Linked DNA regions of Medicago truncatula. The protein of the gene in region 2 binds, or shares a complex with, the protein of the main gene of each other region. Links are inferred from orthologs where the notes say so. Each region holds a gene or a part of one and is shown on either strand. Other genes may lie near its edges.

Evidence for each region.
Region 1: 50S ribosomal protein L6, chloroplastic (region 2) and 50S ribosomal protein L34, chloroplastic share a complex: the UniProt entries of both Arabidopsis thaliana proteins name them as parts of the 50S ribosomal subunit. The link is inferred for Medicago truncatula from reciprocal best matches to the Arabidopsis thaliana genes emb2394 and AT1G29070.
Region 3: 50S ribosomal protein L6, chloroplastic (region 2) and 50S ribosomal protein L13, chloroplastic share a complex: the UniProt entries of both Arabidopsis thaliana proteins name them as parts of the 50S ribosomal subunit. The link is inferred for Medicago truncatula from reciprocal best matches to the Arabidopsis thaliana genes emb2394 and emb1473.
Region 4: 50S ribosomal protein L6, chloroplastic (region 2) and 50S ribosomal protein L29, chloroplastic share a complex: the UniProt entries of both Arabidopsis thaliana proteins name them as parts of the 50S ribosomal subunit. The link is inferred for Medicago truncatula from reciprocal best matches to the Arabidopsis thaliana genes emb2394 and AT5G65220.

Annotation. Positions count from the first base shown.
Region 1 is NC_053043.1:4,727,846-4,734,922, forward strand, and holds 50S ribosomal protein L34, chloroplastic, read left to right. Parts: upstream 1-4,365; 5' UTR 4,366-4,403; coding exon 4,404-4,587; intron 4,588-5,737; coding exon 5,738-5,988; 3' UTR 5,989-6,268; downstream 6,269-7,077. UniProt on the Arabidopsis thaliana protein: This protein binds directly to 23S ribosomal RNA.
Region 2 is NC_053047.1:21,810,305-21,818,046, reverse strand, and holds the start of 50S ribosomal protein L6, chloroplastic, read right to left. Parts: upstream 3,132-7,742; 5' UTR 3,002-3,131; coding exon 2,967-3,001; intron 1,747-2,966; coding exon 1,438-1,746; intron 1-1,437. UniProt on the Arabidopsis thaliana protein: This protein binds directly to 23S ribosomal RNA and is located at the aminoacyl-tRNA binding site of the peptidyltransferase center.
Region 3 is NC_053049.1:23,131,425-23,138,896, forward strand, and holds the start of 50S ribosomal protein L13, chloroplastic, read left to right. Parts: upstream 1-4,333; 5' UTR 4,334-4,444; coding exon 4,445-4,693; intron 4,694-5,208; coding exon 5,209-5,394; intron 5,395-6,685; coding exon 6,686-6,856; intron 6,857-7,472.
Region 4 is NC_053049.1:41,913,998-41,922,246, forward strand, and holds the start of 50S ribosomal protein L29, chloroplastic, read right to left. Parts: upstream 3,108-8,249; 5' UTR 3,011-3,107; coding exon 2,687-3,010; intron 138-2,686; coding exon 1-137.

The DNA.
Region 1 (7,077 bases), on a different chromosome or scaffold from region 2:
TTACAAGGTTCTCCATATGTTCGATTTAGAGCATCCGTAATAGCAGTAACAAAACAAGAAGCTGAAAATCCGTTAGTCTTCCGGTCATGTGTGCCATTTAACATAAGAACCTTCATTTTTTCAATCAAATTAGTGAAAAACAGAAAATTGAGCGAAAAACTAGATAACTTCAAATGTTTGAGATTTCTAAATATAACCCACCATTACTCAACCAATATAACATATAATCCAGTGTGAAGCTCATGCATAGTAGCGCTCATCAAGTATTTTACATTTATGCAAGAAAGCATTAATCACTCTCTAGTTAATAACAACATGCCTGGCATATCATGAAACATGGGTTTAACATGTTGGAAAATAAATGCACGAGGCTTAGTTATGGAACCACTCCCAGCCATTAAATGGATTGAATTTGAGGTTCAAGTTTAACAATTAAGATGACGAGAAATACCCTAAGGCAGGACCGTGAAGGAATAATCACCCCAATCCCCAACCATACGTAGAAAAGTTTGCAAGTCAGTAAGCATCTAATGGGAGATCAAAAGTGTCATAAAGAGTGAAAGCTAGACGTCCTAATCCAGCAAAGTTACATATTAATCTAGTAAAAGTTGCCTAAGAATACTGGGAAAGTTCAAGTATCAAGTATTTCATATTCAGACACAAGATCTCGATACATTCACAATATTCAAGGCAAATAATGCTGTCAGGTAATTAAAGCCCAACGAATGAATGTGAGAGTCTTAGCAATGAGGGTCAGATTGAAGTAAAAAGGGAGCCCATGCCATACACAATGCAATCTATTCAAAGAAGAGAAAAAGAAGTTTCCGTTATAAATTGAGCATGATTAGGAACACAATACCAAATTCAAAGTTAGATTTCGTCTAGTAAGATAATATTTTCATAATAGATAAAGGTAAAATAGCACCCACCAAAGGAGAGGGAAGCACGTGAAAGAGCTAAAACCATAAGGGCTGAATCTGAAGTACGAATCAAGGTCGAGCGTGTTGCAAAAAGAGATGTTGACGAGGCCAAAGAGGGTTGCAGGCTGCAGCTACTGTAAGTTTGGACCAATAGAAGAATGAAAATAATCTTGAATCCTTCTTTGGCATCGGTGCAAGACCCAACAGTTCTCCAAGGCTTCTTAGGGCTAACTCTATGGCGAGACACTAATGTTAGGCACTGGGAACATCATCTTCAACAGGAAGTGTCGTTTCTACATTTTGTAAAATAAAGAGACAAAGGAAGTATATTTCATGATATTAACCTTTTGTTTTTTTTAATAAGTTTGTATTGAAATAAAATTTTGTTGTTACCTTTCTGACTTGTTTTTTTTTTGTTGGCTTGTATTGTTGTTGTTCATGTGATTCATTTGATGTTTTGAACACACAAAAATCTCACTTAGGCTTTTCTTCTCAACTATAATTTCTCCCACTGTCAATGGAACCATCATGTTAAATCCTCAGAACTATGAAGGAAATTGACTTTCAAAGCTTGAGAGCTTGAAAATGAGAATTCTCAAAAGAAATTATGTTGAAAAGATGCTCAAAAGAAAAACAATGATTTTATTTAGGAAAATGATATTTGGTGCATATTTGGAACTTAACCAACTATCAAAGTAACTAGTATCCTAAAGTACTAACATAATTTTATTCTCTTTAACTATCACTATTCATAACACAACCTCAACATAATTTCATTCTTTTACTTATCACTATTTTTAACAGATGCTCAACATCTTGGCTATAAATTATTTAAGGCTAAAGTGTGTTATTCGTCTCTTTAAATATGACTTGTTTGAGTTTTGGTATCTACAAAAAAATAAAAAACGTTCCAGCAAATTTTTTTGTTTTTTAAAATAGTATCTAGGCCCATTTTCTTGCCGATTTTGCCCATTGCTACTTATTTGGCAGATGCTGACTATGTAAAGTTGACCACGTGTCATCCAGGTGGTAATTATCATTTTAATAAATCATAAAATTGATTTAGAAATTAAAAAACATTTAAAAATCCTTTTAATAAAAATAAATTGATTTTCTAAATTAGAAAAAGAAAGATAATTTTTTCTGCACATAAATATCATAACCCAATCTTCATCCCAAAATTTCAATTCTTAATCCTCAATCTCAAAATCACATCTAAAAAAATAATCTTACACACACAAACAAATCAGACTCATCCCAAGTTCAAAGAACAAGCAACATTGCAACACGAAACAATTGTCAACATTGCAAATGAATCTCAACACTTCATTAACCAAAAAACCTAATCAATCATCAACATTTCGGTGTTGTATATATGTGTGTTTTTTTTTCTTCTTTCTATCAAATATGATTAAAAATTAGTATTTTAATATTTTTGTGTTTTATATAATGTAGCGGTAAAACTCACCGACACTGTTCTGTGAGTTTAACTTAGTTAATAAGCACATTGCATAAATATGTAAGGGTCAGCGTTCAAATCCCGCATACCCCCACTTCTCCGCATTTAAAATATGTAAGGGTCACTACACTAGTTGATAAAAAAAAAAAAACTTACACAGTCCTCGTGAGCTTAACTCAGTCGTAAAAACAATTTATAATATATGCAAGGTTCGAACCCTGGACACCGCAAAAAAAAAAAAAAAAAAAAAAAAAAAACTCAAACTCGTACTCTAGGTGTGGCTTTATTGTAAATTTGAATTCACCACTCAAACATATCAAATGTTTTTGCAACTTTTTTTTTCTATAAAACTTCTTAATTATAATTAAGGGATAGAGCTTCAATTAAATGAAACTTAATATTGAAAATATAACTTTTAAAACTTTTAAAGTATTAAATGCACAATTTCCAAAAAAATATATACTCCCTCCGTCCCTAATTAAAAGACCCTTTTGAGAATTTTTTTGTCCCTTTTTATAAGGCCCCTTTGTTATTTCCAACTACATTAATTATTTCTTTACATACATGCCTCTATTTATTATACATTTTTTTCTTCAATCAACAATAAATAACATGTTGAAAACATAAACTAACCTTCTTTCTTAAAGATAAAATTGTAAAAACAATAGTGATTACAAACAACTTTAATACAAATATCCAGTATCTTAATTCCCATGATTTTAGCAAAAGGGTCTTATATATAGAGACGGAGGGAGTATATATTTGGTTTCTATCATCCCCCTTTTTTTTTTTCTTTGTCCACAATTTAGCTGTGACGAATAACATTATTCAATTAATAGCTGCCTTTTGATTTAGTGGTGACATGTTATTAGACACAAATGTGTAAAGTGGACTGAGTTTAATTAGATTAGAGACAAAAGGGGTCGGTTTATTCTAGATAGATTGGTCATTCCTTTTTATTTTTTCGTTTCTATTTTCAATTGAGATTGGAAACTTAGAGATACAAATAATCACAATAAATCCTTGTTGATGGTTTCAACTACTCGAAGGAGACATGAAACAAAAGGGATTGGTTTGTGATAGGGTTCTAATTTCCTGTTGACTATATATAGGGGGACATATAACCAAATATCACAGTGATCAAAATACCATGACTATAGATCAGAAAGTTGACGACTAAATAATTAATTGAACTTGTGATTGAAGTTAATATTTCAATAGGAAACAAATGAATATTGTTTCATGACAAAAAAATTAAATAATATTGCAAGACGGCGAACAACACAACGTAGCACTCAGACTACGAAAAAATTAGATCAATTTAAAAAATCACTTATTTTAAAAAATAAAGAGAAAAGAAAATGAAAAGATGTGATTTCATATTAAAAATTAACTCAAACCACCTTTCAAATAAAGAAAATGAAAGAGAAAAACATAGAAAAACAAAGAAAATTACGGGCTAATTGGAGAAGGAGAACCTACAGAAAGATATAACAACACACCAATACCTTCAAATTTTGTCTTAGTAAGTACATATTATTCAATCATTTATTGTCATATTTTATTTAATTTTAGTTTGTTTGAAGCAAATTTAATTTTTGAGTTAATTTTACATCTGGTGTTGCTATCCAACAAAAATCTCCGATATTTTTTCATTTTGACAAATTAAGGTAATTAATATTAAGTTAAAAAAATGAAAAAAGAAGGAAAAAGGTAGAAAAGTTCTTCCAAAAAACAAAATAAAAAAAATAAATAATAAGAAACGAAAAAGATGATGAGATGCAAGCCTTGCAAAGGGGTATAGCATAAAGAATATGAATGAAAAAAAAAAAAAAAAAAAACTGGAGATGCAGGGGATCGAACCCTGTACCTCTCGCATGCAAAGCGAGCGCTCTACCATTTGAGCTACATCCCCATCTGTAAAATAATCGTATTAAAATATAATTATTCTTGAAACACTTTCAACAGTACTCACTGGTTTAAAAGCCGAAAACACGTAGCAAAACTCACAAAAAAAGAGGATAATGGCTTCGTTATCATCTTCTGTGTCTCCTTTGATATCCATGAAATTCAGAGCACCCACTTTCACTGCTTCTTCAAAACCATCTTCAATCTCTCTCAATTCCTCCAAATTTCGTTCTCCATTGCTTCATTGCTCATTCACTTCTTCTCCTACTTCTCTCTCTTTCAACTCTTCTTCCATTTCAGGTACAAACTTAATTTCTTAATTTCTTTTGTAATAAACATACCTGTACTGTTAATTTTTCAATTCATGCCTCAAACATTGTTCAATTTTTTTGTTATTGGGTATGCAATTGGTAATTCTTCCAAAAAAAAATGTTTTATTGTTGGGTTTGATTGAACTTGACTATGGTGACTGTTTGGAATGGAAGTTTAATTTTTGGGTTTGAAATGAAATTTTATCTCTGAAGTTTATGCTTCTGCATTTGTAATGGAAAATGGGGTTGTGTTGTAAGTGGATAAGATGTCTTGTAAATGCTAGCCATATTGTTACATTCTTTTTGGATGAAATGCAATAAAAGACACCTCTAGAATTTTAAATGTAATCTAGTAATTTAATGCCCTTGCTTCGTGCTTCACCGCAACTAATTTTTGAATCCGAATTGAATAGAACTAGTTTTGAATGTAGTACTGGTATGTCTCAATTCATTTTTTAAGATGTTGAATGAGTAGAAAAATGATTTTAATTGGGGTGATGAAAATTGTCGCTCTACTCTCTCTAAGGATTGTGGTTTTCTAATACTACTTATTGATATTCATATTACTAATGTTAACATTGCTCTGGCTTTGGAGGAGTTGTTTGATACATTATCATAGGACATTTATTTTTTTGTTGTCTGGTTTTTATTAGAATGATGTTTGTTGCAATTCCATGCTCATCTTGATCTCAGCATGACTTAAAGTTAGGAATTTGGCAAGTCGTTATTAGAGAAAAGATACTCTGCTGTTTACCTGTGTCAGATGGAAATACTTCAAAGACATCCTTTGTAAAGATTTGAAACTTGAGCAATACCTCAAGATAGAAATACCTCGTTAGATTGAATTTTAACCGTCAAGGGTTCCATGTAAATATCAAAGTGTGTTTGGTGAATGGCACAACAGCGACACATGTTACAGCCAAATTTTTTATTTTCTCAAATTATGATCGGTGTCAACGGGTCCGTGTCAGTGCTTTGTTGGAAATTGTATGTGAAAAATAGAGAATACAAAAGAGGTTGTAGTTCTTTTGCAATAATGGATGCTTTGCTTTCAATTGTTTGGTGAATTTGTTCAATCTGCATGTATATAGTTAAAAAATTTGTTTGGATTTAGCTTGTTTTGATTTCTCCATGTCCAGGTTTGTCACTAGGATTGGATTTGAAACCTAATGTTGGACCTAGAAGACAAAATGGTCGTCTGGTTATAGTAGCAGCAGGCAGACAAGCTCTTTGTTTAACCAAGAGAAGTAGATCACGAAAATCATTGGCACGCACTCATGGATTCCGCAAACGAATGAGCACAACAACTGGAAGAGCTGTATTAAAGCGACGACGTGCCAAGGGACGAAAAGTCCTTTGCACCAAGAGCCACCCAAATAGTGGCAAATAGTCACACAAGAGCCTAAAAGTATTATATTTGTGTATTTAGCTCCTTAAACTTGGCCGCATTTCAAGGTTTTTCTTTCTTCTTATTTTCATAACAATGGTTTTATGTACTCCTTTATATTTAAAACTTGTATTATTTTAGGCAAAATCTTTGTTCCAGTATGCTGCAAAAAATATGCAAGAGACTTGATGGAATGACCAACAAAATCAGTTTTGCATGTATAACAATATCTCTTATGTGATTTTTGTTAAATTAAAATGACCGTACGTTATTTAGTTGATTATGTTTTGGTGCAGATATTTATTTATGCACTTGTTTGTTGCAATTGATCTTTCACCAACAGAAGTTTTGTTCAACTTTTTTTACATTAGTGTGTGTTTTAGGCAACAAATTTTATTCCAGTAATTCGATTTATTATTATTAGTTCGTGTATGTTTCATTTATTGTCAAATTGTTAGAGTTACACCTTGTTTTAAATTATATATCATATAAAAACCAGCTTTGTCTTAGCTTTCAAGTTTCAACAAATAATACCAGCTTTACTCATAATACCATAGTCATGATAACTTCTATAGAATGCCTTAAATGGCAATCATGATTGCTATTTGATGAGGTCATGGTAGTAATTGTTGCCACTAAACTTGAAGATGTCCTAAAGAAGTCTATTTTGTACTAAAACCTCAGTTAGTTCTAGTATATAATGGTTGGATAAAATGAACAAGGTATTTGTCTAAAGCTTTCAACTTTGTTCAGATTTTTTATTTTATAGAAAATATCCCACGATGTGCTATCACTCTTCATTGAATCAAATGAATAGATTTAAAAATAATGGAATTTTTTTATCTTTTTATTTTACTGAATCACATGAATTTTTAGTTAAATTTTACCTAACTACGTCTATGAAATAACTATTAAGAAAACAGGAAATTTAATACCTAAATTGGAATTTGCAACAAAAACAAACAAATAGAATCCAACTTATAATATAAATCAAAACAAATCGATAAATTTCACTTAGACTTTGGAGTATTTTTAAGAATCTCAAAACAAAAAAATGAATTCTATTTATACAATTAGTATAGTATGCTATTA
Region 2 (7,742 bases):
TAGGATTGCTGGGGTCATCTTCTCTAATTGTTCATGTTTATGGAATCAACAATATTGTTTTCTGTTTCTATTGAATCTGGTTCCTGTCAAATTCAATGGAACCTACCAATACAATTAGTTACTTCCATTTCTTTCTCCTTCTGAAAAACTTCAAAATAACTACTTGTAGAAAAGGCTAGGAAAATAACACGTGCAGCAAGAATTCCAATAAGAAGAATTCGCTAGAATCCCAAGCATTAAATACTTGGCATTCCAGAGACAGCATTTTGTTTCAATCAATATCAAATCTGGAAAACATAGGTAGCCAAAGTGGTATCTATAATCCTAATCAAATACAAATTCTAATGAGATGCTTTTATTTTAGTATAAGAAAGCTCATACCAAAATAGATTTTTAGCCTCTCTTGAGTTATATAGTATGGCAATAGTGTATGTGTCATGTATTTTAAAGTTACTTTAATGTACGTTAGTATACAAGTGTAGCTCCATTGGAGTTGTTTCTATGTTTGATTAACCATTTTTTAAGCTGCGATTCTCTTTGCTCACACCTCAATGGTCAATAGGCCGATGATGTTCATCGTCTAAATTTTTTAACACAATTCTTTTAGTCTTCCGGATCACAAATTAAAATTGAGAGTTGATATTTGGACTTTACTGCAAGCCTATGTAATGGTACTCGGTTGATAATTACAAATTTGGGTAGATATATTCTTGAAAGAAAGGTAATATCAGGAAGCAACATTGGGGAGAAAGTCTATATGCCTAGAATGTTAAAAATTGTACGGTGATTGCATAAATACGGCTACTAATGTAGTTGCATAAGTAGTTGATAAATTGCATTTTAATATTATTTTTTCCAATGTATATGACCCGTGCGGCAACACGGGTGGAAGTCTAGTAAAAGATAGAGTCAACATCTAAACTTCCCTCAATAACAATTATCATAAAAACCCATAAATTATCATAATTTAAAATAACTTAACAAGGTCATCCATTCTGCATCACTTCTTCCAGTGTTAAGTATACAACTGTTGTCAAAATACTAACTACAACATATATCTTGAATGTTTTCATTGTCACGACTCGAAAAGGCAACACCAATGAATGAATCAAATGTTATAAATTTACAACTATCGTTATGCTATGATTATTGGCAAGGATTTTGATTCTCTGCAGTCAGAGAAATCCTGCATTCATGCTCTCAAGTTAAAATTAGCCGTTTGAGCCTAAGTCGGATTGAACTTTTTCAATGTTTTCACTCTGAACCCAAACCACAGCGTAGTGACTGAAAACCCACTATTCATCTCCGACATGTACTCAAACGATTTGTTTGACTGCCTGACTGATATTTTTTACAGCAGAGAATGTGAATCCTCATTGGCAACATCTATTTTTCTACATCATGAAACAATTAAAAAAGTTAAGTAAAATGAAGTACCTGAAAAGCCCGTGCATTTGATTCGCCCTTCTAGTTTCAACTGCCTTACTGACCTTTAAAACCCCTTCTTCTTGCCTCTCAACCTTAACTTCTCGAGGATAAGTTAATGAAAGTTCTCCCAAAGGACCTTTCGCATGGAAATATTGCCCTTCCATTTTGATGGTTACATTGGATGGAACGGGAATTGGTTGTTTCCCAATACGTGATTCCTTACATTCGGTAGTCTTTCTAAAGAACCCAACATGAGTAGCAGGAGCACTTGAAATTCTGATCCTACTTCTCTCGCCAACAAAAGATGACTTAAAATTGCTGAAATAGGAAAGCAAATGATTAGTGAGAGACTGCTTGAATTTATAAAATATTTACTTTGAAACTAACAATTTTTCAAGTAACTAAGAAATTATAAAAGAATGATTAAGAAAACCAAAATTCATGAGTGACTAAAACAGATACAGGGCCTGGTAAACTAGATCTTATCCTTCAATTAGAAGCCACTTTCCAGTTCGTAGTGATTTAGGTCAACATTAAAAAATGCAATTTTGATAAATGATGTTCAATATCCTACTATAACATAATAAAAGCCTCACATGAAGATCTTTGTGCAAAGGAAACCAATAAAGCAAACAAAACAACAATTTCCCAAAACAATTGTTCTTTTCTTTGATATAGCATGTTTGGTATCACATTGAACTTAACGAAATCACAGCCGCAACATGATTTTGTTGAAGTTCCAAAATGTAGCTTTTGCCAAAATCACGACAATAATTTTATCCAGAATTACCTGTTTTACTACTAAGAAAGCCATGAAACACAGACTCAGACACGGACATCGATAATAATTTAAGAAAATGAAATAATTCAACGTAATAATGTGTCGGTGTCGTGTTGGTGTCGGACACAATACGTATCCAACACCGGGACACGTCTAATCCGATTAGTATTTGTGCTTCATAGCAAGAAAGTACACTCGATGAAATTATCTTTTCTGTAAGCTAACAATCACCTCACTAACTATGTGAAAAACAAATACAAAGTAATTTATTCCTGAAATACAAAATTATACTACTAACAAGCATTTCATCAAACATCTTAAATGCAACATCCATTTAATTGAATTTCGTCAAACATTTACAACACTATCATCCTCAACTACATCATCATGATTCATTACAACCAAATTTAACATACACGACAAATAATTATAACCCTTTTGACCCAATTGAGAATTGAAGAAAGAATACAGAAAAATAAAACCACATTCACAAATTGAAACAGTTATAAAGTTAAAAAATATTGGGTTTTCTCAAAGTTTAAAACTTTAAGTGTTTTAAGAAAAAGGGTACTTTTTATTTCATTGCATTCAATAATTAAACACCATATAACAATTATTGAACAAAAACTTGAAATGAAACTTATTTATATGATTAAAATGGTTCAAATTGAAGAGAATGAAGAATGAGATTTGAACAAGTAGAGTAAAGAAGAGAAAGAGAAAGAGAAATAGTGAAATTAAGGGTGTTTGTTTGAACCTTAGTTGAAACGAAGAGGTAACTGAAGAAGCCATTGTTACAAGCCACAAGGCTTTGCTTTTTGCGAATGTTTGCAAAAATGTTCCTTATCCTGTTATCTACTTCGGTTATACTGTGTGTGTGTGTGTGTATGATGGTGGTAAAACGGTAACTACTGTTTGTTGGATTTTTATTGGTTGGTTACACTGTCGGATTTTGATACTTCTGTATTTTTTTATGAGTTATGATTCATAGACATAGGTTGCAATACATCCCTCGACATCCACACAAAAATCTGACATGTGGTCACATGGACCCCGCACAAGCACATTTTCTCTTTCCTCTTCTCTCTTCCTAGAATATAAGGTGTATAAAGGTATTTTCTCTTTCCTCTCCTCTTCTCTCTTCCTAGAATATAAGGTGTACAAAGGTGTATGGAAATAAAGGGTGTCTATGTAACATTTTCCTTTTTTTATTTTGGGTGAAAACAAAACTTTGAACCGAACTGAACCAAAAAAAACCTAATCGTTAATAACAATCAAAAACTGAAATGATTTGGTTCAGTTAGTGTGATTCGGTTCGGTTTAATGGATCAGATCAATTTAACTATTTGGATCGATTATGGTTTTTTAAAAGTTTTAATATTCGATTATTTTTTTTTCAATTGTATTAATGATTCTCAAAATAAATTTGGTTTAATTTGGAAGTTAAAAAAAATATTGTTTTTTTATTTTTTTAAATAAAAAATATTTTAAAAAATAAATAAAAAATAAAAATTACATACGGTGGCGTCCACGTCAGCATTGACTTGGATAAAATTGGACTGGGATCAAAACTGCAAAAGGGACAGTACTTGGAGAGTTAGATTATATTTTATTTTGTTAAGGGGCCAAAACAGAAAGATCAAAGGAAAATCTTCCGGTTAGAGACTCAAGTCTTGAATCCCGGGAAAAAATCCCCGCAAATGAAGTACGTCGCCTATAAAACTATGGCAGTTTAAATCTACTTGGATAAGTTGGCAATTCGCTAAGAGAAAAAGAGGTTTCGTCTGACACTCTAAAAACCTCACTTTGCTAATCTAGCAGAATCCTATCGGAAGAAAAATGTGATAGAACCGTTTATATTCAAATAACAACATCTTTGTATTATGTTTTGACACTAACAAGACTAATAATAAAGGAACACTTTGTCATATACCTATGTCTATGATCATGCATGATATTATAAGAGAAATTAAAGACGTGCAACTATCTTTAAGGTAATGACAAATGGTCATCAAGCACAAGACAAGTTGATTAAGATTTTAAGAAATCAAGCAACTATTTTGGTTAACATATTATTACCAAAACTCATTATATGTGCAGAGCACTCCAAGACATCGATGGGTCCTAATGATCATCTGCATGGTCCACTTCGTTCATGCATACATCATTAATTGATCAATTATTGAAGATCATGTGGCCATATTTTATTTGACTCGGAAGCTATTAAGATCTTCAAAGTACAAAGAAATGATTCTTTCAGAGCTTTTCACAGAGATATCATGTCAAGGACAAAGAGATACAATAGATACTTGGACTTTAGAATATGTATCCATATAACATATATATCTCTTGTCTTATAAATTGAAAATAATCATGTTGAAAGATGTTCTTGTTGTTGTTATCGAAGTTGCTATTGCAATCATCGTTTGTGTGTTAAAGCACCATATCCTTCAATGTTAACTTGATGGCAAGAAATCACAAAGCGTTTTTAGTCTATTCTTGGAGTCATTTTAGTTAAATTAGGTAGTTTGAATGAATTTAGTCAATTTTGGTAAAGGATTCGATAAAATGTCATGAAATCATAACAACAGAAAAATAACCTTGAAACCATGAAACTCCACTCGAACTAGGGCTGGAAATGAGTCGAGTCGAACCGAATCTGTTTGAGCTCGGCTCGACTCGATAAGAATTGGTTCGGCTCAAAACTCGGTTCGAGTTCGACACGAACTATTTTTTCAGCTCGAGTTCGGCTCGTTTAAAGTTCACGAACAGTTCGGTTCGGCTCATTAGGTTCAGTTCGGTTGCTCAACTAGTCCAAAAAAAATTATAAAAAAAAAAAATTAATTTATAGATCTTTGATATTTTATATATATATATATATATATATATATATATATATATATATATATATAAAATATTGAATTCAAATAAAAGTTCCCACAAACATGCATATAATAGACATAAATTATATAAAGTTAAAGATTGCATAAATACGAAGAAAAATATCTGATACAAGTAACAGAGACAAAAAAATCCAACAAAATTTAATTAGTTGTGAACAAAATTCATAATATTCTTTTACTTTTAAACTCCAACTGCTCTTCCCTTCAAGACAAAATTGTATTCAGCCACATTTGCCACATTTGAATTAAAAAATTTTAAAAACTAACTCAAATTGATTTATATATATAATCAATAATCGAGCCATCTCATGAACCTAACGAGTCGAATTATATGTAGCTCAAGTTCAGCTCATTTAATTAACGAACTTAATTTTCAGCTCAAGTCCAGCTCGTTAGGTTCATGAACCAAGTTCAAAGGATTAGATATCGAGTCGAATGTCGAACTATAATCGAGTTGGTTCGGTTCATTGCCAGCCCTAACTCGAACTAGACAACTCTCAGATTTATAAAGCTATAGCTCCGTGCTTTTTTCAAACAAATTGTTTTTATTCAAAATCTTTGAAAACAAGACTTGATTACTTTTGTTTTTAATGTTATAGTTCCCTGAAACCAAGAGGTTATTGGAATGGAACAAGTTTGTTTGATATGATTTTGTCCCTATGCATCGAGAGATTAAGGGATCAAGATAAACTACTTTGCATGAGTACTAGAACTTGGAAAAGGCTTTAAACGTCAAGATCTAACTAGGACTCTTGTCATAAGCCAAAGGCTCAGTAGAATAATACTTTAGTGGAAAATGTTGATGACCTAACCTAGCAACGATGCATGTTAAGATTATGTGATTATAATATGATCGGTAGTCTTCAGGGACTTAACATGATGGTTGAGTTTACTACACCCCTAGTAGCCACTAGGTTGCCAGAAATTCGTAGAAATCTGTAGCTCTATAGATCTATGTAAAGCTTGTAACACTCATATTTCTATTAAAGCAATTAAACATGAGAATAATACAATTACAAGAAATAGAGGCTACGTCATCATTCAAAAATTCAAAACCAATAAACATGTATATAAATCTCAACAATCGCAACGGAATATAAACCAGAGTACATCAAATATACGTGTCATGAATCAATTATTACATCAACATGGATGAATCTCAAATCCCAACATACGGGTAAATCTCCAATCATATCAATAATCCAAAACAAAAGACCTAGACTAAGACAAGTCTATATTGTAACACCCCGTTTTCCCAATATACAAATTTCATAAACATTTATCAGAGTAAAAACCACAAACGGGATATCACATAGAAACGTAATCCAAAAACAGTTAAATAATAATTTAACCTTCACAATATCTTTAACATAGCAGCGGAATATTAAATTCAAAAATCATAAATCAGTTTGGCACGTAGGCCCCATCAAAATAGTTCATATTCCATAACTTAATAAAAATAACATATTATCCACGTAAGAGAATGAACCATGTTATAGCATATAACCCCATCCCGTTACGTATCAGAGCGACCTAGACGACACAGTGAAGGCAAGGCCACTCACGACGGCAACTGCACACTAAGCACGATCACCTGCAAGTTACCCATACGAAGGGCAACATTTTCAAGCAGAAGGGGTGAGATTTCATAATACAATAACATTAATCAATGTAATTGAGAATCATAAATTAACATCATATTCATTCTATTTCTAACTTTGCATAATTGCTAAACAGTTATCACTTAATCATATATCCAATCATTAGGAATAACATAACATAATCAATAAACACATATCACGTAATCACATAATCAATCATCATCAACAAGGCATCTTAATCATGACAATGTGACAATGCTCTTAGACTTCTTATATGCATGTGGTACCAATCGTCATCATATCATCAAAACATATCAAAATCATGCATATATTATATAATTATAATATAATTGCCTAAACTCGATTAAATAACGATTAAACGAAAGTGGGCGTTACAACTCTCCCCCACTTAAAAGATTTTCGTCCTCGAAAATTTACCTCAAGTAAACAACTCTGGATACGACTCCAGCATCTTACTCTCAAGCTCCCACGTCAAGCTTTCACCAGTCGCTCCCGACCAAACGACTCTCACGAGAGGTATCTCTTTGCCCCTCAACGTCTTCACTTTACGATCATCAATCCTTAACGGTAAAGTTTCTACCGTAAGGTTGTCTCTAACTTGCACATCGTCACTCTGAATTACATGAGATGGATCCGGAACATACTTCCGAAGTTGCGACACATGGAAAACATTGTGCAAATTCGAAAGATGCGGCGGTAAACCCACTCGGTAAGCCACCGTTCCAACTCTTTCCAAAATCTGATACGGACCAATGAACTTCGGGGTCAACTTCTTTGACTTCAAAGCACGTCCTACACCAGTCATAGGAGTGACTCTCAAAAACACGTGGTCTCCTTCTTGGAACTCAAGATCTTTTCTACGCTTATCATGATAACTCTTTTGTCGACTCTGCGACGCTTTCATCTTCTCTCGGATCATCTGAACTTTCTCAGTGGTTTGCTGAACAATCTCTGGTCCTAAGACCACTCTTTCACCGGACTCAAACCAACACAACGGAGTTCTGCATC
Region 3 (7,472 bases), on a different chromosome or scaffold from region 2:
CCCTACCTACATGATGACCAAACACTCCACTAGGTCCTATACCTTACCATTCAATCCATATTCATTTAATAATCACAATTCACAGTGCATACTTCACACTATTCGATAAAAATCCATATTCAGTCATTCTCAATCAAGTCTCAATAGTTCAAACATATATAATCATAATAACTAGTCAAATTCTATCAGTAACGCCTTAAGAGATTTAACACGTAGTACTTTTAATAAACATAATTTCATACTAGTTAATACAAATGTGCACTCACACATCTACCACACCATAATTAACCTTTAAATCATAGTTTCACAAGGATCAAATATTAAACAATCTTAACAGCATTTAATTCATGGCAGCCTTCAGGTTCTGGATCATATTGATGTGATCTTAATCAATTATATCTCAAATGGCTAAACTATATGTGGTAAGCACTATATGAATAGTTGAGAATTACAATATTATCATTCATTTCACAATATATTACACTCATGAGTGAAACACTCGCTTACCCCTTACATATAATCTCCCCTCGTTGGCCTATGATACACATAAGAGCAAACACAACACAAAATCAATACTAATTCATGGTTTAAGGGTAATCGATAAGGGTAATCAAAATATTCATTCATCTCAAGTTAATCACATCAATCTGAATCTGATAAGGGAAATCAAGAACATTCTATAAGCTCAAATTATCCACAACAATCCGAATCTGACAAGGGTATTCATTCCTCTTAAATTAACCACATTAATCTTCATCACATTTTCTCATATACAGATTTAAATTAACCACATCAATCTTCATCACATATTCTCATATACAAATTTTTTACTCATCACAAAACACATGCATCACATCATATATACATCACTAGATACGTACAACTCATGTCTATTCAAGAACAAGAATTTCGCAATAAAAAAAAATAGCAATTAGCCAATTATGATCACAATACCTACTCAACAATACCTATTCAACAATAACATCAATGAGTACACATTCCGACATAAAGTAAGTCAAGCAACACCTTAATAAAATTTCTAATTCCTCTTTTAACCTTACTTCCATATTTGCACATTAATTTATTCATCTCTCAAAGGCTACAACCGTCGCAGCGAGCCTCGAATCAGTGGATGATTTCAAGTTGGAAGCCAAAGTTTTGTAAAAGAGTATTGTGGCTTGAGGAAAGAGAAATCGAGGAAAGAGAGAGGGGGCAAGGGTTTGTAAAAGAGTTTCCATTCTGCAACCATTTGGAAGAGAAGACCCGTTCTATTTTTATTTCTTCATTTAATAGCAAGGGGTGCAAATAGACATTCAGACTGAAATTGGTGTGTGGATAGAAATCCAGTTAAGTGAAATTAATGTGTTTTCACATACTGGGCTGTGAATGGTCCCAAAGAAGGAAGACAGATTAGCCCAATCAAGTATCAGAATGCAGCAAATAAAGGGAGGTGTATAAAGTAGTCAGTTTTAAATTAATCTATCTATCAATTCCGATTCTAAAAATATCAATAACTTGTTCCACTCTCCTATAACTAAAATCTTGATCTCTAAAACACTCATACTAAATTACTATGACCTTTCAAAATGCTTAAAATAATAAAATATCAACATTTTATATTACTCCATAAACAAAATAAATATGTATGACTATCACATCATAACAAATACACATAGGAAAAATCATCATAATATTGCTAAATAATTAGGATATCACTATGTATACAATTCGTATTACTAAATGTCATGATAATTATTAGCGCATCCACACAAAAACAATCAAAATAAATAAATAGATAATAACTAGTAATTACAAGATGAAACTATATATAAAAACACATGGATATATGATAATATAATATATAGAAAAATTGGGGTGTTACATCTTGGACATTGGGTACATAATTCCTCCCGTTGCAAAATCTTTTGAGGCCTATTGAATCTTCATTCTTCATCTTCTCAAGACCCAATAATCTTTAGAGGTCTTGATTTGCCTGGTTTGCTTGATTTCTTCGTGAATTACTTCAAGAACCCTATAAAATTGCTATGTTTTAGGAAGAATCAAATTACAGACTCAAATATAAAAAATATTACAAATGTCCCGAAATCATAGACAATTGTTTTAATACTCCTCTGGTTTGCTGGTAAAACCTATTAAAATAGACTGAAAAACATGCTAATTATAACGTAAGATGATCTGTCATCACCTGTCCGTGATGAATTTTACTTGCGGATATTTGATGTGTAAAATCCGCAAGTGCACCGTTTTACTGAAGTAGTAAAAAGAGTATCGTTCTGATAGGGAGTTATGAATTCAATTAACTTTTAACAATGATTAGAAGAAAGTTTGAGATTAAAAAGTTTGGATTTTTAACGGTTGAAAATAATATTAATAAAAAGTGCCTCGGGATTATTGGTTCGTCATGGCGAAAAATCCTTCACAAATCAAACGCTAAACCTAGAATTTTATGTTGGACCTACTTTCTAAAGACAAGTTTCTCTTTAGCCTATCACATCTCCTCTCGATTTCAGTAAGTGTGTTCCTCTTGCAACCACGTCTATTCTCATGATTGATTGCTATTGGAATCCTTGAAGAAGAAAACTTTTTTGTCTCAAGGTTTGCTAGACCATTCTCATGTTTCACAATCCTTGTCTAATTTCACTTGTTACAATATCATAACTTCTTATTACGATGTTTCGCTTTGATATTTGTGATGATGAATTAACAAGTACCAACCCTTCGTTGTCGCATTATGAGTTTGATACTTGTTAATTCATTATAAAAATGGTGAAATTAGATTAGAAAGTAGTTTTACATAAAATTAGGGTTCAATGCTTAGTTTGATTAGGATTAGGTCATTAGATTCATCCAACAATCCCAAGACAAGAAGTCTACTCACTCACGTTCATTGTCGACATAGAGAAGAAGAAGAAGAAGACCATAAAATAAAATAAAGAAAATAAAGATGAATTTTTATTTAAAGAAACAATTGTCACTTATTATTTCCAAGAACTAAAGATGATTATACAAGCTTGATGTCTGCTCTATTTATAGTCTAACAATGACTTAAGCCCTAAGAAATAAATCACTAAAGTGTTGCACAAGAAATGACAAGCTTTAGGTCAAAAATAAACTAATAGGCAGCTTGTCCGGGAAGCCAAAAGAAGCAAAAGGTGACTCTGGGTGCTGGCACGACTGTGTGGCTGGTGACACGGGCCGTGCTAAGCTTCTGAATTGGGGGCTTTTTATTTTTGCACCAAATCTTCATATTTTTAGTCCGAATCAGCTCCGAATCTTCTTTCTTTTGCTCTAAGACTCAATCTTTAGAATATTCGTTCATGAAATTAAATAACTTGCAATTGAAGTAAAATAGTTCTAAAAAAGAAAATAAAAACAAATAAAATTTAAATAAAATAGACTCAAATAATATATTAAAAACGATAATTTATTGAATCATCAATATCATGCATACCAAAGTTTGGTAATCCTTAACTATATGTCTAACTTGGGAATGCAGATAAATACACTAGTATCTAATTAATATTGTCATATTTGTCCCTCCTTATTTTCTACTTATCTTCCAATTTTAAGGAGAAGTAGGGCCAAACACAATTTGTAAAGAAGAAAACCACATAGAAACTGATGACAGTCGGCCATTCACTATTTTTAGAGTCTTTTTTATGATATTTTTGAGTTCACAAGCAAAGATTAAACAACAAGAAAAGCTAGAAAAACTGAAGAAAAACAAGAAAAACTGAAGAAAAGCAAGAAAAATAAGAAAAACTGAACAAAAGCAAGAAAAGCAATAAAACCGAAATGTTGATTTTACGAATTATGGGATCAAAATGAAAATTGATAATTACTTAAGAGACCAAAAATCTAATTAAGCCTAAAAAAAAAGTTTGTCTAATATTTTCAGTTTTTTAGTATTATAAAATTTATGCTTTACTATAATTTTTTTAAAACAACTATGAATTGTAAATGTCCATCTTAAGACTATTTTTGAGAGGTCTCTATTAAACAACCCTAAAAAGTTTTACTAATTAAGTTGGACAAATAACAAATGCCAAACAAATTTAACTTTAACTTAAAAGTTTTAATTTTCAACTTTATTATTAAAGTAGCTTTTAGACCTCAAAAAAATAGAGCCAAACACACCCTTACTTATCGTTATATTAATTTTACAAATATTTATATACTATCATATCAATCCATACATAAAAAGAATTAATGTCATATTTGATAGACTATTTTAACGTAAGAGACTTATTTGACTAACAAATCGTACAATTATACACTATTTTAAAATTTTGATACATTTATAATATAGGCTTATCTATCGCACACTCTCTGGCTGGCTCTACATTATCCCCAGTAAAGATAGAGCACAGAACACAACACAAAGCATCGTGAGAGAATTTATCATCATTCATCAACAGCAACAATGTCCTTGCTGTGTGGTTCACCATCAGTGACGTTCCCTTCATCTTCTTCATTCTCTCATCACAAGAATTCAACTTCTAAATCTTCCTTTCTTTCTTCTCAATTACCACTTTCAAACCTTTCATTATCATCTTCTTCAATTCGTTCTCCATCTTTCATTGTCCATTCTCAGCAGGAAACTTCCATTGTCGCAGAAGAAGAAGATCCTCGTTTCATCTGTGTTGAACCTGAGCCCCGCTTTCAAGGCCCGGTATAACTTCTCTCTCTCTCTTTTTTGTTAATGGGTTTTGTTCATTTTACACACTAAGTGTTGTTGTGTATGATTTTGTTAAAATTTTCTTGTATTAATTTCTGGGTCTCTGTAATCTAGCATATGGAATAGAAAAGCCTCAATTTTTATTGTCAAATTTTAGTGTTTGTCTCAATCCATCATTTTATGGTAATTAAGCCTTATTATCTTCTTTCTGGTTTGTAATTAGCACTTTAGCAGTATTCATTTCTCGTAATTGAAGTAAATTAACATGTAAATCCATCTTAATTTACTTCAATTATGCCTACATTTCGTATCTCATTAGTTTAATTAGCTTGGAAATGTATAGGTTATTACTTCATCCAATTTTTTGGCATGATTGAAAGTTGGAATTGCTTTAAATCTTTACGTCGGTATCCATGTCTTGTATTATTTTTAAAGCTTTTAACTTGGTAGATGCTTTTTTCGAATTAATGTATTTGAAGCGGCTTAACTGAAAAGAGTAATGATTGCAGGACATTTGGAACACAACCTGGTATCCAAAAGCTTCGGATCATGTCAATACAGAGAAAACGTGGTATATTGTTGATGCTACAGATAAAATTCTTGGAAGACTAGCATCAACAATTGCTAATCACATCCGAGGGAAAAATTTAGTGACTTATACACCCAGTGTGGACATGGGTTCATTTGTAATTGTGGTACGTATTTCTGCATTCATTATTTGCAATTGGCATGGAAGTGCTGATTTTTATGGTTTACTACTTCTACGGAATAAGCTTATTTGTTATATAAGTCAAGTTTTAGTTGAACATCTTTCTTGTTAATTTTCTTTTGGTTTTAAAATGGATGGAACTTATGCAATATATGATGGACTGTTTTCTAAGTAGAAGGAGTCAAGTTGAATCATAGGTTAATGGAGTTTCTTGCATTTTAGCCTTAACTTTTTGTGTTAAGTCACCATGAAATGGCGTAGAGGCTCAGTGTCATTTCCCTTCAAATTGTTATCATCATTCTGATAAAAACTGGTATTTTATTTGGAAAAAAGATGGAGATAAGCCCTATTTGGGAAGTTCGAGCACTGTAAAACATACATCAAGGGAATGCGTCTCCTTATACCCAAAGGCCTCAGCACTTATTCAAAATTTCAAATGTCAGGATATCTCAGCCACTTGACCCGTCTTCTTATTTATAACTACAGTTGGAAAAAAAAAGCCTTATTTCTCTAATTATTTCAGTCTTTTTCCTTGTAATATACCTTCTGTTCTACAGTTGTTAACTCCCTTCCCTGTTTTTATAGCTACTCCTCTATTATCCTTTTGGAGAGTTACTGTTATTGAAGAGTCCTTGTAATTCTAATATCTACTTACCGCTCTTCCTCTTCCTAAATACTGTACTCTTAACGAGTGGTTTGCTAACACACATTTAACCCTTTGCTATAATAATGTCACATTGACAAAGAAATTTGGATCACATTTCACATTTTTGTATATTGATTCTCACGCAACATAGTCTGTAGTTAATGTATTGCTTTAATGCATGTCCTGAAAAGTCTTGATGAAGCTGCTATTAATCTTGTTATGTCTGAATGTTTGTCATGTTTTTTCGATCATAATGGGAAGCTGCAAGACATGTTCTTTTTGTTATGTATATCTATTGTTAATGACTTCTCCGCTTTCTACATTCTATAGATTGTAAGGAAGTTTATTTATCATGCATTTGGTTTTAAATTTTAATTATAGGCATGTATGACTAATGATTTGACGACAGATTCCAATTTTCCACAAAAATAAAACTACAATATCAATAGAGGAAACAAAATCTCCTATAAAATGGTTGTATTGTTTATAAAACTTGCTTTTCACATTAATGACTATGTTTATGAGGCTCACCCTTCTCATGAAGTTTTATGCAAGGAGTATTGTCAATAATGTTCTGTTTCACGATTGCTTTATGTAGTCTTGGCCTATTATTTTAACTGGGGTTGTGTAGATAAATGCAGAAAAGGTTGCTGTCAGTGGGAAAAAGAGGACCCAGAAGCTTTATCGGCGGCACTCAGGTCGACCTGGTGGTATGACAGTCGAGACATTTGACCAGCTGCAGAACAGAATTCCTGAAAGAATTATTGAACATGCTGTTCGTGGCATGCTTCCAAAAGGGAGGGTAAGTTCAATAAAGTTCAATGTTTTTCCAAGAGACTTGTACAGTAGACATGTTAAGATGGATCATTGATGCATAGAGAAGTTGAATATAAATCTAAACTATGTGTTTAATTTTTATGACAAAAACATATCACACGTACTAGATTCGTTTCCATAACTGATGGAAGAATATAGAAGTGAAGAATGAAAGGAAATCTTACAGTCTATGCATGCCTGAGAGCACACGTTTTTGGTTTGAAAGGGATCCCTTAGAGAGTACACCTTTTGGTTTGAAAGGGATGCCTGAAAGTAGACTTTGTCTTCACCGGTGTTCCCTTCCTTTCCACTACCAAGCTTGAATCTAGTGGGTTGAATAGTGGTGGTGGGTTGTTCGACCTTCTTAAGACCCATCCATTCACCTTGTTGTCGGCTCCAAACCTTTCGACGTCAACCTTTCTATTTCGATGCCCTCCGTCACATAATGAATAACGGTGCTACTATTTTCGTCCACGACCCAATTATCACAACTTTGAATTTGAAGGTATGAGACGGAACCATATTCCTTCCTCGATAGTTACCTTGCATCTACCACCACCTGATGGTTTCAGACTTTCGGTGGCGGTCAGACTAACATGCAA
Region 4 (8,249 bases), on a different chromosome or scaffold from region 2:
TCGCGTAGCTTCACTAAAGATGGAGGTGGTTTTACAACAATGCTTTTCTTCCATTTTTTATCAAGCTTTCTGGACAACCTCTTACCAATACCCTCCTCAATCTCTCTTTCCCGCTTTACAGTAAGCAAGCGAGCAATCTACATCAATAATAACAGTAATTATTCATCCAAAAGAAGGATACCGCTTGTTGGCAAAGCTTTTATAGGATCATCTGAAGTTATTATTATTAGGGTAATATTAAAAGGCTTAATAGCAGTTTTCGCCCCCTAACTTTCACAAATTTACGATTTTGGCCCCCTAAGAAAAAAAACTACAAAACCGCCCCCTAACTTAGGGTGCCACGTCAGCGTAGACCGAGTCAAAATTGGCCTTGGGGGCCAAAACTGCCACAGATGCAAAACTTAGGGGGCGGTTTTGTAGTTTTTTTTCTTAGGGGGCTGAAACTGCTATTAAGCCAATATTAAAACCAAAAAATAAAGGAAAATGTTAAGTTTAAATAGTAAGTTTATGAAAAGTTGTGTATTCAATGCATTGGAAATTGTAATGGTTGACTTTTTTAAAAGAATAATTACTAAATTTGGGATCCTTAAAGAGTGCCCCGGGGAATATTGTTCTCTCCCCTTTTTCTATGGTGTGCATATCTTGCCTTTACCATGGAATCTAAACATTCTAAATCCTAGCTAATGCACTGCTTCTTTGCCTACTGAATCCTTAGTGCCCATTCTCCTCGATTCAATTTTTCTTGGTGGGACATGAACTCTGATAAAATGATGATGGGCCCGTCATGAGCCTCCCACGTTGCCGAAAGTGGAAAAGGAGCGCGGATAGTAAAGCAAACTGAAATAGGACTGTGAACTTCGTCTGTCACTACTGAAGGAGATTAATCTATTATGCTGGATCCTAACAAACAGAGCATGTGGCAATAGGAGAGGGCAATGGGAGATGCAGGAACCAATGGAGACGAACATTAATGTGGGAAGGATAGATGTGTGGAGGAATAGCAAATAACTTGAGCATTTGAGGGGTGATTAATAACAAAGGGCAGAGATGCTTTTCTAAGATATTTTTTTCAGTTTCGGTATATCCTTACACTTGTCTCCTGATATCTGGGTTAGAGTTTTCTTTTGGATTTTTCGATGATCTCGAAAGTCAAATCTACTTCTACCAATTTAAATTTCAGTTCTGATACAGAATATAAGTTGCATGAGTGGAAAAGGTTAATAACGTATATGAAAATAAAAAGGGCCACAGCAATTGAATTTTATTGTGGAGTGAAAATAGACATGATAAAATAAGGTTTTTTTGAGTAAATCGTGATTTTGATTGTTAAAAAAGCAATGTAATGAAGAGGACTGAAACAAAGAATAAAGGCAGAGATATTAATCTGCTGCAGCTTAATTGAATCAAAATTATAATACAACTGAGTGTAAGAATAGGCTGCAACTTGCAAAGACATTCGTTATGTGAGCATAGTCACGTTACATCATGTCCAAACAACTAAAGTAAAAGATATTGTAGGCTAGTTTATGAAGAAAGGTTAAGTATGCTAGACTGCAGTGCATCATGTCCAAAACTTGACCTTTACACTTTTCTTTCTTCTTTGGCAGTTTTATTGTCCTCTGTTTAGGGGTTCTTTGGTTTCCGGTTTTCAGTTCAGTTATTTCCGTTTACATCGGATTAGATTATACTAGATATGAATACCCCAAGCTATGTTAGCTATTAGCACTTGTTAACAAATGGTACTAAGTGGGCTCTCTCTCCTCAAAGATCTAAACTCTATCCGGCGATGGATTTAATCTGTGTGAATCTAAGAAACAAGAGTCCACAAGCCATCATATTGGTTGATTGAAATTGAACAGAAACAAGGAGAATGACTTCTCCTCCAAGCCATCTTACAACGGCCACCACACCACTCCACTTTTTCAGGTATGGTATTTTCGGGACTCTCCATATTTCAGGTACGGTGTTTTCGGGACCAATTGCTCTGTGCCGCAATACATGAGTGACAACTATGATAATTACACGAGCTACGTTGCTCGAACTACAACGAAGTTAACGAAGTTGAAGCCCTTGGCCTTTCCTTTCAATGTTTGTTTCATTGTTGCACGAGATAAAAATCCTGATGCCTTCAAATTTTACCCTAAGTTTGGTATAATGGGCACCAAAAATAATGCAAATGGGATGTAGACATAGGCTTCTTTCCTTTCCTTTCACTCCATTTCCATTCTAACGGAGCAATATTTCATTGTCCCCTTAACAATTTTGATTATTGTGTGTAATATGTAAGTCATAGGCTTGATAATTTCACTATTCCCCACCTTAGTGACTAGTGAGTCTTTGGCTTTGTGTATTTGGTTATTGACGCCCTAAACATAAATCTCTTGCACTGATCCAGGCAATAAGAAGCTAGTTGTTTCTCTAACATAACCATAAAACAATGACAATTCCAACACATTGATAATATTCAATTGAAGTTAAAATGACAAATTTCAATAGATTTTTCCTACTGGCACCCCGTTTATTCCTAATTTCAAAAACTCCCATTTACCTAACACTATTAATGTATTTAGATTGGCTTATAATCAAAAGCAACTCTATCCTAAAAATTTAATTAAGCAAATGTGAACAAAGTATATTAAAATTTCTATAAAATTGAATAAATAATCTAAAGAGTAAGAAAATATACCGTCTTACGCATGCTACGAAAATCACTGGACTTAAACTCATTACGAGCAGATTTCTGAAGACGAAGCATGAACAACTCTCCCTTAAGTTCAACAACCTCTTCATTGATTTGTTCGGTGGTTTTAGTTCTAATTTGCTTCAATTCTTCTTCTCTCTTTGCCATCATCACAACTGAGACCGAAGCGGTGCGTTTCGTCGCTGGGATTGTGCACGTGTTTGGTTGACGTAGACGAATGCCATTGAAGGAGGATTTGAAATGTAATGGTTTTGGAAGAAAAGAAAGTGTTGAAGAAGAAGATGGTGAAGCAACGGAGAGGTTCAACATTGTGTTTCCGCGCTCGTATGTTTTATCTGATGAACAGCAACTGTGTGCAGTATGTGTTGTAGTTGCAGATAAGATCCACACCCTATCTTACTTCATCCTTTATGAGCACAACTCCTCTTTTATTTTATTTTATTTTTTATTCATTTTTTCTTTCTTTATAAATTAGATTCAGAGAATTGGTTTGTATAAAAAAAAAGTTTTTTTAGATACTGGATTGAAAACATTTTTTTTTTTTAATGTTTGGTTAACAGAAATATTGGATTGAAAACATTTACGAATTCAAAGTATTTATGTATAACCAAAGTTACTTAAATAATAATATGTTATAGACGTTTTTTTAGATATAACAACGCTTTTTATAGATATCCAACATTCACTTTCTTTTTTAGAGGAATATACGTAGATTTAATCTTATGGAATGAGTTATATGAATTGTTGGAATCCACATGTATTTCACTAAAAAAAATATAGCGAGTATTAGAAATTTAAGTCAGGTTGATGGTGTTTAATGACCTTTGAGTATGGTACTTCCTCAATTGTTGGTTTCTTCTCCGTCACTCTCGGCCTTCTTTTTCGGGGAACGAAAGCAGTGTATATTTTTTTTTAAAGAAGTTAAACTAGCCCACTCAAATTGACAATGAAGAGAATCAAACATGAGACATTGCGGAGAAACACACTCCAAGAACCCAAACCAACACCACCAGAGCAACTTAAGTGGACTTCGTTGATGTTTCACATACCTGCACTTCATTGATGTTTCACTATTAGAATTTGATTACATCAAATGAGAGTCTTACAAATCATCCTAAGTGAAACAAATGAACATCAGAAAGTTCATTTCCAGCACATACTTTCAATCTGACGGACAAGTACAATTGGTAAAAAGTAAAAGCAAAAACAAAAAGCAAACTCAAGTGCGACTCAATGAGAATTAGACATGCATGGGGTTTGGTACTGCACAAGGATCAGAAAATCCCCTAAAGCATGGGCATGAAGTGACAATTCCACTTTCCTCTCTCCTGCACAAGTTCTAAGGCAGATTTGCAAAGGCTTTTGTTCAACATTATTTTGAATTATGTATGAAGAACGATACTCATGGAAAATCCCTTAAATTCATCTGACATTCATAGGATGAACCCAAAAACACATATGACATTCATCCTTATGAACTTAGGAACAATATCCTGATGAACACAACAATATTCCGAAGAACACAACAACGTTTTTAAGTATTATGATGAACCCAAAAATATTTTGAAGTTCATAATGTTGATCAAGACTTCAAGCAATAGTTGCTAAGTCCGAGGATATGTGGCACAAGACCATTGCACACGCCCTAACAACTACAAGAGGTCAAGAAACTCTGTAAAAAGATAAGAAGACTCTGCATTGAAGCACACAACTTTCAAACATACTTAAACAACTTAATCAAAGTGTTTAAAGTTATCCATAAGTCCTAGCTCAACTGGCAAAATGACGAAATTGTTAGGTCGGATGCCATGACCGGGGTTCGAACCCCGATACCTCCACTTGTGTGTGTGAGTTTATAATGGCTTTGTCATTTCGTCTATCTACAAAAAAAAAAAGTGTTTAAAGCTTCATAGCAAAATTGATTTCACAAATCAACTATAAAGATTCCTAAAATCTCAGAGAGTATGAATCAATCTTATCTTATCTTCTTAAAGATGATATTATTCCTCTCTTCTTCTTCCTATTGTTCAACTCCATTCAAACTTCCAAATCATTTGTAAGAGAAAAATCTCATCTAGCTCTAAGAGTATTAAAGTGTAGGCTGAGTATAAAGTTGTAAAGTCTTGCATGACTTAGCAAAGAAAGTCGTAAGCATGATGAGGCTTAGAGAATACATGTTGTAATTGTTCCAAGGGAACAAGGTTGTACGATGCAGGAGTTAAAAAGTTATCTCAAGCATCATAGTGAAAATCTCAGAAGATTGTGAGGAGTGAATTAGCCCCCATTAGATGAACCAATGTAAATTATGCGTGTCTTTCTTCTCTTTCCTATACCATTTACTTACGGTAAACACAACACACACACACACACAATCATTTACATTTAATATATTGTTTTTACAGTAACACTTTAGAACTTTCTGAAGTCTCTTTTTAACTTAACATTTTCAAGTTTCAACTTAAGAATTACTTTTTAAGTACATGATTTAATTTAAAAAAAAAAGGTCTTACTTCAAGGTGTATTTTGTGAATAGCGAACATACGATCACAAGTTTAAAATCCAATATTTATAATAGAAGATTAATGTTTAAGCCTTTGTACCTCTGCCTGGTCAGCTGTTTTGGAAGGACGACCATGATCCTTTTAGGGACAATTGTTGTCATTTGAGGGCACTCTTTAGAAGTTAGGTCTAACATAAAGTTCTAGGTTTAAGGTTTTGGTTTGTGAAGGATTCGTTATTATGATGAACCAATAATCCCAAGACTTTTTTTTATTTTTATTCTTTCCTTTTAATTAAAAATTCAAACTTTAATCTCAAACTCTCATCTAATCATTATTTAAAGTTAATTGAATTCATAACTCTATGTCGGAACGATACTTTATTTTTACTACTTCGATAGAACTGTGCACTTGCGGTTTTATCCCATTAGTTGTTTGCCTCGGTACCCGTTCTTATGTGCCACTGACCCATCTGGTTGTTTTCCTGCTTCTCATTCTTCCTTGTTATGGGCTGCTTTGGCTATCATTCTCGTGGGTCATTTGCTCTCATGCCACGACCATGCGGTCTCGTTTTGGGAGGATCACTTTGGGACTTAACAATGAATGAGTTTCAATCAATGCTGAAACAGCTCCCCAAACTATTATGTGAGGAACTCAAGTTATGGCTTGTACATGAAGCTGAATGGAAAATCCCTTTGTAGTTGGAATTCGTTCGCGTGTTTTTTTTTTGTTTCTCCGGACATCTGGTTCGTTAAATGTTTTTAAAACAATATCCATTTTAAGTTATTTCTAAGACAATGTTTTTTTTTGTTTCATTTAATTTTATTTTCAAGGTCTTCCTAACCACTGTCTCATGAATATTTATAAAGAAATTCATTAATAGAATTTTTTTTTCAAATATAAGTTGTCCTATTTGTTCAAGTAATAGTTATGTCATTTTTTTTAATAAAAATTTATCTTTATTTAAATTGCTTAACTAATATCCTTGAGAAACACTCTCGACATCCTCTTTATTTTTGAGCTATGTTATTTGTACATTTAAAATTGGACAACCATTAACTTTGCAAGGAGTAGAGCTGTCAAAACGGGCGAGCCCGTTTAGCCCGAATAAATATAGGGCTTCGGCCTAAAATATTGAGCCCGAATTTTAATAGGGCTTTTTAGCCCGGCCCTTAAAAGCCCGGTACCCGTTAGGGCTAGCCCGAATGGGCCGGGGGTAGCCCGTTAGCCCGCATAACAAAAAAAAATTCTATAAATTATATATATATTTCAAATAATTATTTACTTAGTTGATTATCAAAGTATAAAACAAAAGTGAAAATTCAATGAATTAACACAAATATAAATGTAATATAAAATTATATTTATTCATTTCGTTATTTATAGTTTTAAAGATCGAATATATAAATATCTATAACCATAACATATCTAATTTATTTAAAATCATTTTTCTCGTCGTTTTAGTTTACGATGTTTGTACGAAAATGTTTACAATTTACTTTTGTGCTAGACATTATTTAAACATATTAAAAATATTATTTATAAAAAAATTATAGTAGTGTTTTATAATATTTTTTAAAATAAAAAAAATATAATTTTTAATACGGGCCGGCCCGTGTAGGGCCGGGCTCGGGTAGTATATTTCAAGCCCGTTTTATCAATCGGGCTTTTTGGCCCGGTCCGCTAAAGCCCGAAGCCCGCTAGGGTTGGCCCGTTTAGGGCCGGGCCGCCCGTTTTGACAGCTCTAGCAAGGAGTATAGAAATCGAAATCAGATAAAATATTATTAAACATAGCAAATAAATTGTTGGTTGTACAATTTAGTTGTTCAAATATCATTTCTATTTATTTTTAAATCTCTTTTAATTTAATTTTAAAGTATCTTCGTTAGTTTGTGACCCAACATATGTTGAATCATACACAGAGACATCATAGAGGTGTTTAAGTGCTGTAATAAATTATGTTAATGAAAGTTGGTAGTTAGTTGAATTTTTTTTTTAAGGAATTAGTTAGTTGAAATTTTGACGTTAATGTATTAGTCTAGCGTTGGTCTATGTGGACTTTTGTGCTAGTCGAGGTTAGGCATGTTAGGAATTAACAAGAATTTTAATGGAAAATTGAAGATGTGAGTTATTTTTAAACAATTTTTATTTGAAAAAAAATCAATTATTTTGAGACAGTGTGTGAGTGTCAATTTTACAATTTAAGTGCATGTTTCCAACTGTTTTGAATGAAAATATCCATTAATTATGATGGCAAAGCCACAGCCCACAAGGGAGTAACAAATGTCATTTTTTCACAATCTTCTTTGATTTAGACCGATTGCTACGAACCTCTCTCGTTTTCTATCTAAAGCTTCCATTAATTTTTTGGCCTCATCAATTGTTTGGTTTAATCGGAGAACTCAACTTGAGCCACTCCTTTTCACATCCACTCAAAATACGTTTCAAAAGTCTCATGTCGCACTTGCTACCACTAAATAAATGGGGCAGAATATCGAACTATAATTTTGTCCCATTAATTTTGTTTTTGACAAATTGTCCCTTTTAAAATTTAAAAACGTACATCAAAATTATTTTCAAACCACTCTTATCTTTTACAAGGTGTAATTAAGACCATAACATGAATAGTGAAATTACTAAAGTGGAGAGTGTCAGAGGTCCGGAGGAAGAGATTCGTCATCACTCGAGGCTTTGTGGATGCATGATACGATGTTTTCACTGCAATAAGTTAGCGTTAGAAGACTCATTCACAATTATCTCTAACTTTTTTTTTGGCAGATAGAAGAGATGACAAAACCATCATAAACTCACACACACAAAGTGGAGGTATGAGACATTTTTAGTAAGTTCAAACCCCGATCATGACGTCCAACCTAACAATTTTGACATTTTTACGAATTGAGTTAGGACTTATGAGACAAATTATCTCTAACTTCTATTGAAGTAACATGTAACATATACATCGACACTTCTTAAAAAAACCACATATATTGACCAATCAATATTTTTATGCCAATAGTAACTTGTAATATTTTTCATATAAAAAAAAG